3 linked regions of the Oryctolagus cuniculus genome follow. The protein of the gene in region 3 interacts with the protein of the main gene of each other region in a pairwise test. Links are inferred from orthologs where the notes say so. Each region holds a gene or a part of one and is shown on either strand. Other genes may lie near its edges.

Region 1 (3,654 bases), on a different chromosome or scaffold from region 3:
CGCCCCGGGGATGGCTTTGTGAGCACGCATGGGGCAGTGCAAGGAGTCGCAGCGTGGAGGTGGTGATGGCACTACGAATGGGTGCCGGTCAGGTGCAGAGCAGGAGCAGAAGCCGGAATTCAGACCCCTCCTCCACCCCACTCCCCTGCCACACACACACACACACACACACACACACACACACACACACATACACACACACACAGAGTCGTTCTCACATTTCTGCTCACTACCTTCTCATTCCAAGACTTCCTGGGCTGTCCTACCCCCATCTGAATGAAGCCAGAGCGAGGGAGCAGCTGCTACCTTTGCAGCGAGCAAAGATTTCTTGCTCTTTCACAGGGCTCCCCACAAGGACTGGGAGCACCAAGACTGCAGGAGGTGCTGGGCCTTGGCAGACACAGGGGAAGCCAGCAGAGCAGTAAAGGGGCGGAGCTGGGAGCCTTTCTGTGCACCTCTCCTCTGACAATCGGCATTTGCACAGAGAGGGATGGTGAACACACAGTGGGGAGAACAGAATGGCAGAACTGATTACAAACCATTTCCTGGCTATTTTTTCAACGTTTCCGTAAAAATGTTGTTGCACTGTTTTATAAGTCAAGGAAATAAAAATAGCTGTAAAGACTTCTGCAGACACAAATCAAAATAGAGCCTGCAGGTCATCCCTGGGACACAGGTTTGGGATATTTTCATTTTTTGAAAAAAGTAGCAGTGGTGTTTAGTCTAGCAGTTAAGATGCCCTCATCCCACGTGGGAGCGCCTGGGTTCCATACCCAGCCCTGGCTTCTGACTCTCGACTCCAGCTTCCTGCTAATGCAGGCTCTGGAAGGCAAGGGCGCTGACTCGAGTAACTGGATCCCCCAACCTGTGCCAGACCCAGATTGAATTTCTGGCTACTGGCTTTGGTTTGGCCCAGCCTCAGCCACTGCAAGGCATTGGGGGAGTAAACAAGCAGATGGGAGTTCTCTCTAACTGCCTCTGCCTCTCTCTAAATAAACAAACAAAAAAAATTTTTAATGTATTAAATATTTACTGTTGGGGGCCAATGCTGTGGCGCAGTGGGTTAAAGCCCCGGCCTACAGCACCAGCATCCCATATGGGTGCCGGTTTGAGTCCCAGCTGCCCCACTTCTGATCTAGCTCCCTGCTAATGTACCTGGGAAAGCAGTGGAGGATGGCCCAAGTCCTTGGGCCCCTGCACCTACATCGGAGACCAGGAAGAAGCTCTTGGCTTCTGGATTCAGATTGGCTCAGCTCCAGCCATTGTGGCTATTTGGGGAGTGAACCAGCAGATGGAAGACCTCTTTCTCTCTCTCTGTCTCTACTTCTCTCTGTAACTCTTTCACATAAATAAAATAAATCATATATATATATATATATATATATATATATAGTCCATACCATATAGGCTAGACATTACATTGGGAGGAAGAGAAGTTGAAGTTCCCGGCTAGTGAGAATATGAGTCTGATGGAACTGTCAGGTGGATTTGCAAGGACGGAACTGAAGTGCGTGCTCGAGCTTCTTTTATGAATTCATTAGAAGAGCCACTCGCCAGGCTGTTGCGCCTGCCTTCAAGGCCCAGCTGCGTGGCAGCAGCGAGGGTGCACCTGCTCTGTACACACCAAATACTTCCTGTCCTCACTCCTTTGGACTGCCCTCTGCCTCCCCACCCCGCCCCTGTGAGCACCAGTCATGCACCTTAGAGCCACAGCAGCAAGGAGGGGCGCAGAGAGGCAGCGACCAAACACACAGAGGCTCTCACCTGCCCCAGCCAGGCGCTGCCCGGGCCGTCTCCAGGACACTGCTTAATGTCCTTGCAGGCCAGCCCAGGCCTAGGCAGCTGGAGTTCTCACCCTTCCTCTTTCTCCCTGCCTTCCCTCTGGTGTGGTGACAGAGACACCCCCACCCCCCAAGCCTTTCCGACCTCTGCCAGCCTCAACCTCTCTCTCCAAGGCAAGTCTGAGGAACTCCACTTGGAGCAGGGCTGGGTCAGGGACTCGGAGAAGGGAAAGCAGGCAGGCAGCAAAGGCCAAGGCCAAGGCCCAAAGACGGCATCCGCATCAGTAGGGCAAGTAAAAGAGAACAGGAAAACAAGCAACCAGGTGTTTCTGGACCCAGGGTCTCCAAGGATCTGGGTGTCCTAGGTGTCTGGCCTCAAAGACTGTCTTGGCCCCACCTCCGGACTCTTACCTGTTTGTGAACCTTTGTAAGCTGTTCCAGGTTGTTCTCAAGAAAGGAAATCTTCTGCTTTTGGGAGTGAATCCCCCCACTGTCCTCGGGCTCCATTTCTGCACTCTGATCAGAGACAGACAAAGATGTGGCCAAGCAGGTCCCCCAGAGAGCGGGTGCAGCCAGCCCCACCAGGGAGAGCAGGGGCTGCAGATACGTGGAGAGGGGTGGGTGTGTGTGTGCGCACGCGCGCGGCCGAGGATGGCACTCACTTTCTTGACTCGAGTCGTGACGTCTTGAACGAACAGCTTGCGAAGGTTGTGGAGGGTCTGGAGTTCACGGGCCTGGAAGGGATCATGAAACACTGGGGCTGGCCAGGTGCCACACCCACCCCCTCCCTCCAGACTTACGGGAACCTCGGCTCTACACAGTCAAGGGAGTCACTCACCCTTTCCAGGGGCAGGGGGTGGGGGGTGTCCTGATTACGCCACAGACTGGACGGGGAGAGGGGTCAGGGAGAAACAGAGGGGACGTCACGAAGCCCCGCCCCCCACACCCCATTGCTTGGCACAGAAGGAAGCCACTCACAACTGTCTCCTCCAGACCCTTGAGGTCCTGCTTGGACTGCTCGTGTCGCTCGTACAGAAATCTGCAGCAGAGGACGCAGAGAGAGCAGGACACAGAAAGCCTCACTCACCGCCCCCACCCCTTTTATCCCTGATCATTGTGTTGCACAAAGTACTCAGGGATACTGTACAAAAACTAGAAAAGGATTTTAAAAGAGCGCTAAGGGAGTGGGTATTTAGCCTGGGGTGAGGACACTTGCGTCCCACAGTGAGCCTGGGTTTGATTCCTGAATCCAGCTCCTGGTTCCAGCTTCCCACTTAGGCAGACCTTAGGAAGCAGCAGTGATGGCTCGGGCTACTGGGTCCCGAGCCACCCACATGGGAGACCCGGATTGAGCTCCTGGCTTCTAGCTTTGGCCAGCCCAGCAGCAGCTGGGGAGCAAATCAGCATATGGAAGCAAACTCTCTCTCACTTTCTGCTTCTCAAGAAAATAAAAAAAAAAAAATGAGAAAAAGAACATCCCTCTTTAAAAAAAAAAAGAGAGAGAGAGATGGGGCTGGTGTCATGGTGTAGTGGGTTAAGCAGCCGCCTGTGACACCAGCATCCCGTATGAGCACCGGTTCAAGTCCCAGTTGCTTCACTTCCAATCCATCTCCCTGCTAATGTGCCTGGGAAAGAAGTGGAAGATGAAGCAAGTCCTTGGGGCCCTGCACCCACGTGCAGGTTTTTATGGGGTCATACCAGACTGCTCTTACACCAGCTTTTCACAGTTAACAGAACCCACAGGCCTCTTCCGGCTACTACTCAGGTCGCTTCTGAGTCTCCTTGGCCCCTCCCTGACCTGTGGGTGGCCATGTGTGCCAGGTGCCCAGGCGTCCCGCCTCTGTGGGCCCGCTGGGCGCGGGTGAGCATCACT
Region 2 (3,551 bases), on a different chromosome or scaffold from region 3:
TTTATTGGTCAGGAGGAAAAGCAACTGTCAGCAGCAGGGGGCCAGCAGAGCTAAGAAGCCACACTGGTGAGAGCCCTGTAGAGGAAAACCTGAACTCCAAGTCCCCCAGGACCCAGTGAACTCTGGTGCCAGGGGCTAAGAGACAGCCACCCACAGGGGGGCTGGGTGGGGAAGAGTTTTCCATATGTACAGGATCTTTGGTTTGTTCACTATATGTTGCCTGAACCCGACTGTTTCATTTTCTTGTCTTGATCTGGACATGAACTTTGCTTTCTGAAGCCTGGAGGTAACAGGTCTTCCTTGTGCTTAGATTCTGCATTCATCAGTGGGGAGGGGACACTCAGATATTCTAACAAGGATGTGCTGTAGCCCCTCAGTCAGCTGACATTCTGGTAATTACACCAGTGTCCTGAGTTTTGTTTCTGCAAACCAGTCTGCAGGAGCCTGGCTGACTCCTATTTCTGGTCCTCAACGGCATATTCCAAATGTAGAATATTCTGAACCCTCCCACCGCAAAAGGCCTCTCCTTCAGATCTCTTGTTCTGATTCAATAGTGATCAATGTAAATAAAAGGTCTAACACAAAAATCAGGCAAATATGTTTAATTTTTTAAAATAACTGATGGCAAAATAAAATATTTACATCACATCATACTGTGTAAACATGTAAGGTCTCTGTACAAAGAAATATACATGCAAAATAATGCAAAAATTTAACTGAAATAATAAAAGAAACAATACACAAATAAAAGTTATGAGGTTACGAATACACATCCAGTTTTGAATCCAATTTCTTTTAAAAAGTTTCTGTACAATTTTACAAGAAGAAACAAACAAAAACCCAACAAAAGAATAAATAAAATACATTGGAAGCTGTGAAGCTTAACGATGCCAGTTTATGGCTCAAAAGACCCAGGTGTCTGGCTGGCTTGGGGAGCAGGCTGGCCTCCTTTTAGTGTACGTCACACAGCAAAGATAAAAAGACATCCAAAAAACTCAAGTGTGCCCAGAATTGCAGCCTCTTTTGTGGAAAGGACTCCCTGCACCAGCGTTGATTCTGCCACAGTGACTCGGGCATTGGGTACCAGCCTCAGAGGGGCCAGTGCTTAATTGGCTTTTATTTCTTACCAAAAGCTCAAAATCCAGCCAATTTTTGTACAGAAAGTTGAACGTCAAAAAGTCTAAAAAGTAGTAAATGTCCAGACTGATTTTGGGACAAAAAAATAATACTTTGGCATTCTGAATAATAGCATAATAAACTTTAAAACATTACCCTATTATCCAGTTTTATATTCAGAGTATGAAATCACTTTTTACAATCTTCAAAACTGACAATTTTCACGAGGAGTTGAGTCTCCTTGAACCGATGGCACAGGGCTGTGACCCTTCCCCCCACCCCCCACTCCCACACACACACAAAACCATAAAGCTCACTATACGAAGTATGTGCTTTTTCTATATATTTATTACAGGTACAACAGAGGTCTCCATAAATAGTTGCATAAAATGTTAAAGCCACAACATTGCACATGATATGAAATAAAACAACAACAAAAAAACCCCCAATGAGTGCATTTACAGTATTTTCATCTGACTGTATACTGCTCAACAATCTGATTGACGGCTTAGGGTGGGAACAGGGGAGGGGGCAGTGGGGCAGGACCCAACCTGATGTCTCCATTTGATGGGCAGACCCTCAGACTCTGAGGAAGAAGCCCCAGGCGGGGCTGGGGAGCAGGTGGGAAGGGCAGGTAGGGGGGGAAATGACAGACCGGAGGCAGGAACAGTCTTATATACAAGTAAGGCCTACATTTCATCAGAGCAAAACAATTCATTCTATTTTATGCAAAAGTTTGAGGTTGAATGCATGTTTCGGAGGCCAGGTCTGGCGTGTGGCGGGGTGCACGCAGACAAGGCGGCTGGGAAGGCATAGTGCCAGGTGGCCACTGGGCACTGGCCAAGGGCCACCACCTGGGCGCTGCTTCCCCAGAGATGTACAGTATCTTTGTTTTGTTCATTAATACCAGTGGTTGAACATAGGCATTGTGTTTTCTTGAATAAATCTTGAAAATGTTAAATTTGCAAAATTCTATTCATGTTCATTTAAAAAAGTTATTTTTATTTTTTATTTTTTTGCAGAAACCTGAATAAAATACTGTGATACAGCAATGCGACCTCTGCCTCCGCAGAGCGTGACTGAAGTCCTCCACCCCAGGCAGCTCACTTGGAATGCAACTTCACACGATCAACACACCGGCAGCTGGTCACCTAGGTTTGTTTTCTTTTGTTTCTCTTCGGAATTCAAATGAACAGCTGATTGGCAGGTGAAAGAGAATGAGAAAGAACTTCAAGATAGGTCAAACTCGAGGCAGAAGCCTGCTCTGTAAGAAGTTTTTAATGCTCCGAATAGGTCGAACATCATTCTGGTGTTTGCGCCGCTCGATGAAGGATGCCAGTCTCGATGTGTCGAGGACGCCTGAGCCTTTGCCACTGCCCGCCTGCAGCCACTGCTCCTGCAGGGCCAGCGCAGCCGAGGGGCGCTTGGCAGGGTCCTCCTGCAGGAGGACGCACACGAACTCCTTGGCCTTCTGGCTAACTCCTGTAAAGTAGTCATCTGGGAAACTGAAGTCCAATCGGCAAATGTTCAGGCAGGTCTCCTCCACGCTGTCATCCAGGAAGGGGGACACGCCGCTAAGAAGCACGTATGTGAGCACTCCAACACTCCATGTGTCCGAGGTCAGGGAGACAGGGTTCCCAAGGATGATTTCGGGGGCTGCGAACTCGGGGTTCCCCAGTAACTGGTGGATGTAGTAGGTCGTGTTGAGTTGGACAGCATCTCCGAAGTCAGCCAGTTTAATTGTTGGCTTGGCTAAACTCTGATCCACCAGGATGTTTTCAGGCTAGAATACAGGACAAGACAACTGTCATTTCCAAAAGAACCCCAAGCTGAAGCACAGTTGTGATGGTCGGCAGGCACCTGCGGGAGGCAGAAGGCACCTGCAGAGGCAACTACAGCAAAGTGTTCAGGTGCAAATCAGGACGAAGCCTTTGGCCCTCAAGCCCGGGGAACAGAGGAAGAAGTGTTGACAACAAAGGGACCGCTGACCCAGCTCAGTGGAAAGCAGCTAGCTAGGGCCTCAGGCGTTGTCTGGGAGGCAGGGAGTTCATCTTCCCTACCAGCTCTACACGTAGAATGTGTCCTTCCTTCCTTTCTAACTGACTGTGGAACCAGTCCTCCACTAGCCCTGCAAAATTCACGGGAACTTTCTGAAAGTTTCATGAAACGCTGGGGGATCTGAAATGTTTACCTAGTATTTTACCGGCTGTGGACATCACTACCTGCAAACTCTTAGAAATGGAGGTCGGGGGTCAGTGTGCCCATCTCCCACAGCCTATATGACCCCAGTCGCCCATCTCCTGCCCTGCCTATGGAAGATGGAGTTCCATGTCCTGCATGGCTGAACTGGGGGCATGGTTGGGCCTGCTCTCATCCAGCCACAGGCCCACCCACCTTTAGGTCCAGGTGTGCGATCCTGCAGTTGTGAAGGTATC
Region 3 (2,326 bases):
CATCATCCTTACCTGGCAGCTGACGGAATATATTCTAGAATTTCTTCTTACAAACCTTACATCTCATTAAACCTAAGTTCCTGCCAACTTCAGAATACTCGCTGCCCCCTGACAGTGCTATGCTTTTTGCTTTTCATTATTTAGCCTGTGCTGTTTCTTCCACTTAGAAAGCCACACACTCCACCCGACTCTACCTGGGCAAGCAGACTTTCAGAGGTTCACACAAACCAACAGCCTTCACGAAGCCTCCCATGATGTTGAAATTAGGATCACTCCCACTCAACTCTGGGCCTTTCCGCATGGGTTATAAAGAATAATGCTTAATTTGGGGTTTACACCTGGCTGCACCACTCATTAGGTATGGGATCTTGGGCACATCACTCTGACCTCTCTATGCTGATCTTCTCGTCTACAAAATGCACAACAGCAGGGCCTACTGCACGAGGGAGACAGCACCTTCACTGTTCTGATGAAGATACTGAGGCCCAGAGAGGCTAATGCGCCAAACGCAGGAACTCCGAACTCCAAGCCTTCATGGGGCTAGACTGGACTGCATTTACCTCCCCCTCCCAAATCGGAAACAAAACACCAAATAGAAGAAAAGTAGTCCTTCAGCACAACAAAACAGAATTACAAAAGGAGCAGAAATACGTGCAGATGCTTATGTAGTAAAATCCACAAAGTGGCTGGCACTGCGGCTCACTAGGCTAATCCTCCGCCTTGCGGCACCGGCACACCGGGTTCTAGTCCCGGTCAGGGCGCCGGATTCTGTCCCGGTTGCCCCTCTTCCAGTCTAGCTCTCTGCTGTGGCCAGGGAGTGCAGTGGAGGATGGCCCAAGTACTTGGGCCCTGCACCCCATGGGAGACCAGGAGAAGCACCTGGCTCCTGCCTTCGGATCAGTGCGGTGCGCCGGCCGCGGCGGCCATTGGAGGGTGAACCAACGGCAAAGGAAGACCTTTCTCTCTGTCTCTCTCTCTCACTGTCCACCCTGCCTGTCAAAAAAAAAAAAAAAAAAAAAAAATCCACAGAGGGTCTCCAGGCTGGGGAGCGGGGGGAGGAGAGCAAGGGAACAAGGCAGCGTACCTGCAGTAAGTTCTCTTCCTCACACAGGTGCTTATCAACTTTCTTGTACAGGTTGTCCAGGCCCTTCTTCACCTCCTTCCCAGGGTACTCTCGGATGACTTTGCGAAGCTCCTGCTTGTTAAACGCAAGTTGGTAGCTTACTTCCTCCTCTCTTATGCCCTGTGCTACTCGGGCTTCGACGCCTTCAAAGAAGTGCTTCAAGGGAAGGAAAAGAAATTACAGCTGCAACCTGCTTTCACAAGCATTTACATAAAAAAACCTGATTACAAAATAACATATATTCACGGTATAAAAAGTGATTGTGGAAGTATAAAGAATAAAATAGCAATCCTAAGAAAAATTATCATCTGAGATTTTTTTCTAATCTTTTCATGTGTGAACACATAAATAATTTCATGTTGTATTTTTCATTTACTACTATATGTTTTTTCCTAAGTATGCATTTTCATGGCTGCATAGTACTCCAGCCAATGGTTGAACCATAATTAATTCCTCCAGTACTGGACATTTAATACCCTCCCTCTTCTTGGGAAAGTTAGGAAAATCTAGTTAGACTTTTAGAAATCTATTACAAATACAGTTGCTATGAACATCTAGGTATTTAACTGCACTGCTGATTACTTTCCAGTGTAAATTCCTAGGACTATAATCACTCAAACAAGAAGTATAACTACAAGGATTCTGGAGAGTCTCCCCACAGACAGAGTGCCTCCCCGGGAAGCCCAATCACTGATATTCCTGTCAGCAGTGTATTGCCACTTCACCATAGCATCATCAGCATCATTACAATTTAAAACTAGTGTTCTCAGAGTGAAAAAGATTTGTTGCTTTATTTCATCATTCTTTGGCAATAAATGAAGTCAACTTGCTTTCTCTTACATTTAGTAATGATTCAGGGCCCTTATCCATTTCTATGGGGGTCTGAGTACTTTTCTTACTGATTTTTAAAAACATTTATTTATTTATTCAAAAGGCAGAGCAAAGAGCAACAGAGAGAAGAGAGAGATGAGAGGAAGACAGCGGGGGTGGGGTGGGGTGGTGGGGGGCAGGGGAGAAATATCTTCCATCTGTTGGTTCACTTCCCAAATGCTCAAGCCAGCAAGGGTTATGTCAGGCCTAAACCAGAAGACTGCAACTCCACCCAGAGCTCCCAAGTGAGAGGCAGGGACCAAGTACTTGGGCCATCATCTGCTGCCTTCACAGGGTGTGCATAGCAGGAAGCTAGATGGGAGGTGGAGTAGC

What was found.
Region 1: the proteins of EXOC1 (region 3) and KIF5A interact in a two-hybrid assay, tested with the Homo sapiens proteins (2 studies listed by BioGRID and IntAct). The link is inferred for Oryctolagus cuniculus from reciprocal best matches to the Homo sapiens genes EXOC1 and KIF5A.
Region 2: the proteins of EXOC1 (region 3) and TRIO interact in a two-hybrid assay, tested with the Homo sapiens proteins (2 studies listed by BioGRID and IntAct). The link is inferred for Oryctolagus cuniculus from reciprocal best matches to the Homo sapiens genes EXOC1 and TRIO.

The regions. Positions count from the first base shown.
Region 1 is NC_091442.1:60,183,382-60,187,035, reverse strand, and holds part of KIF5A (kinesin heavy chain), read right to left. Parts: intron 2,821-3,654; coding exon 2,760-2,820; intron 2,516-2,759; coding exon 2,444-2,515; intron 2,298-2,443; coding exon 2,193-2,297; intron 1-2,192. UniProt on the Homo sapiens protein: Microtubule-dependent motor required for slow axonal transport of neurofilament proteins (NFH, NFM and NFL). Can induce formation of neurite-like membrane protrusions in non-neuronal cells in a ZFYVE27-dependent manner.
Region 2 is NC_091445.1:43,638,191-43,641,741, reverse strand, and holds the end of TRIO (triple functional domain protein), read right to left. Parts: coding exon 3,511-3,551; intron 2,900-3,510; coding exon 2,357-2,899; 3' UTR 588-2,356; downstream 1-587. UniProt on the Homo sapiens protein: Guanine nucleotide exchange factor (GEF) for RHOA and RAC1 GTPases. Involved in coordinating actin remodeling, which is necessary for cell migration and growth. Plays a key role in the regulation of neurite outgrowth and lamellipodia formation.
Region 3 is NC_091439.1:108,583,106-108,585,431, forward strand, and holds part of EXOC1 (exocyst complex component 1), read right to left. Parts: intron 1,280-2,326; coding exon 1,085-1,279; intron 1-1,084.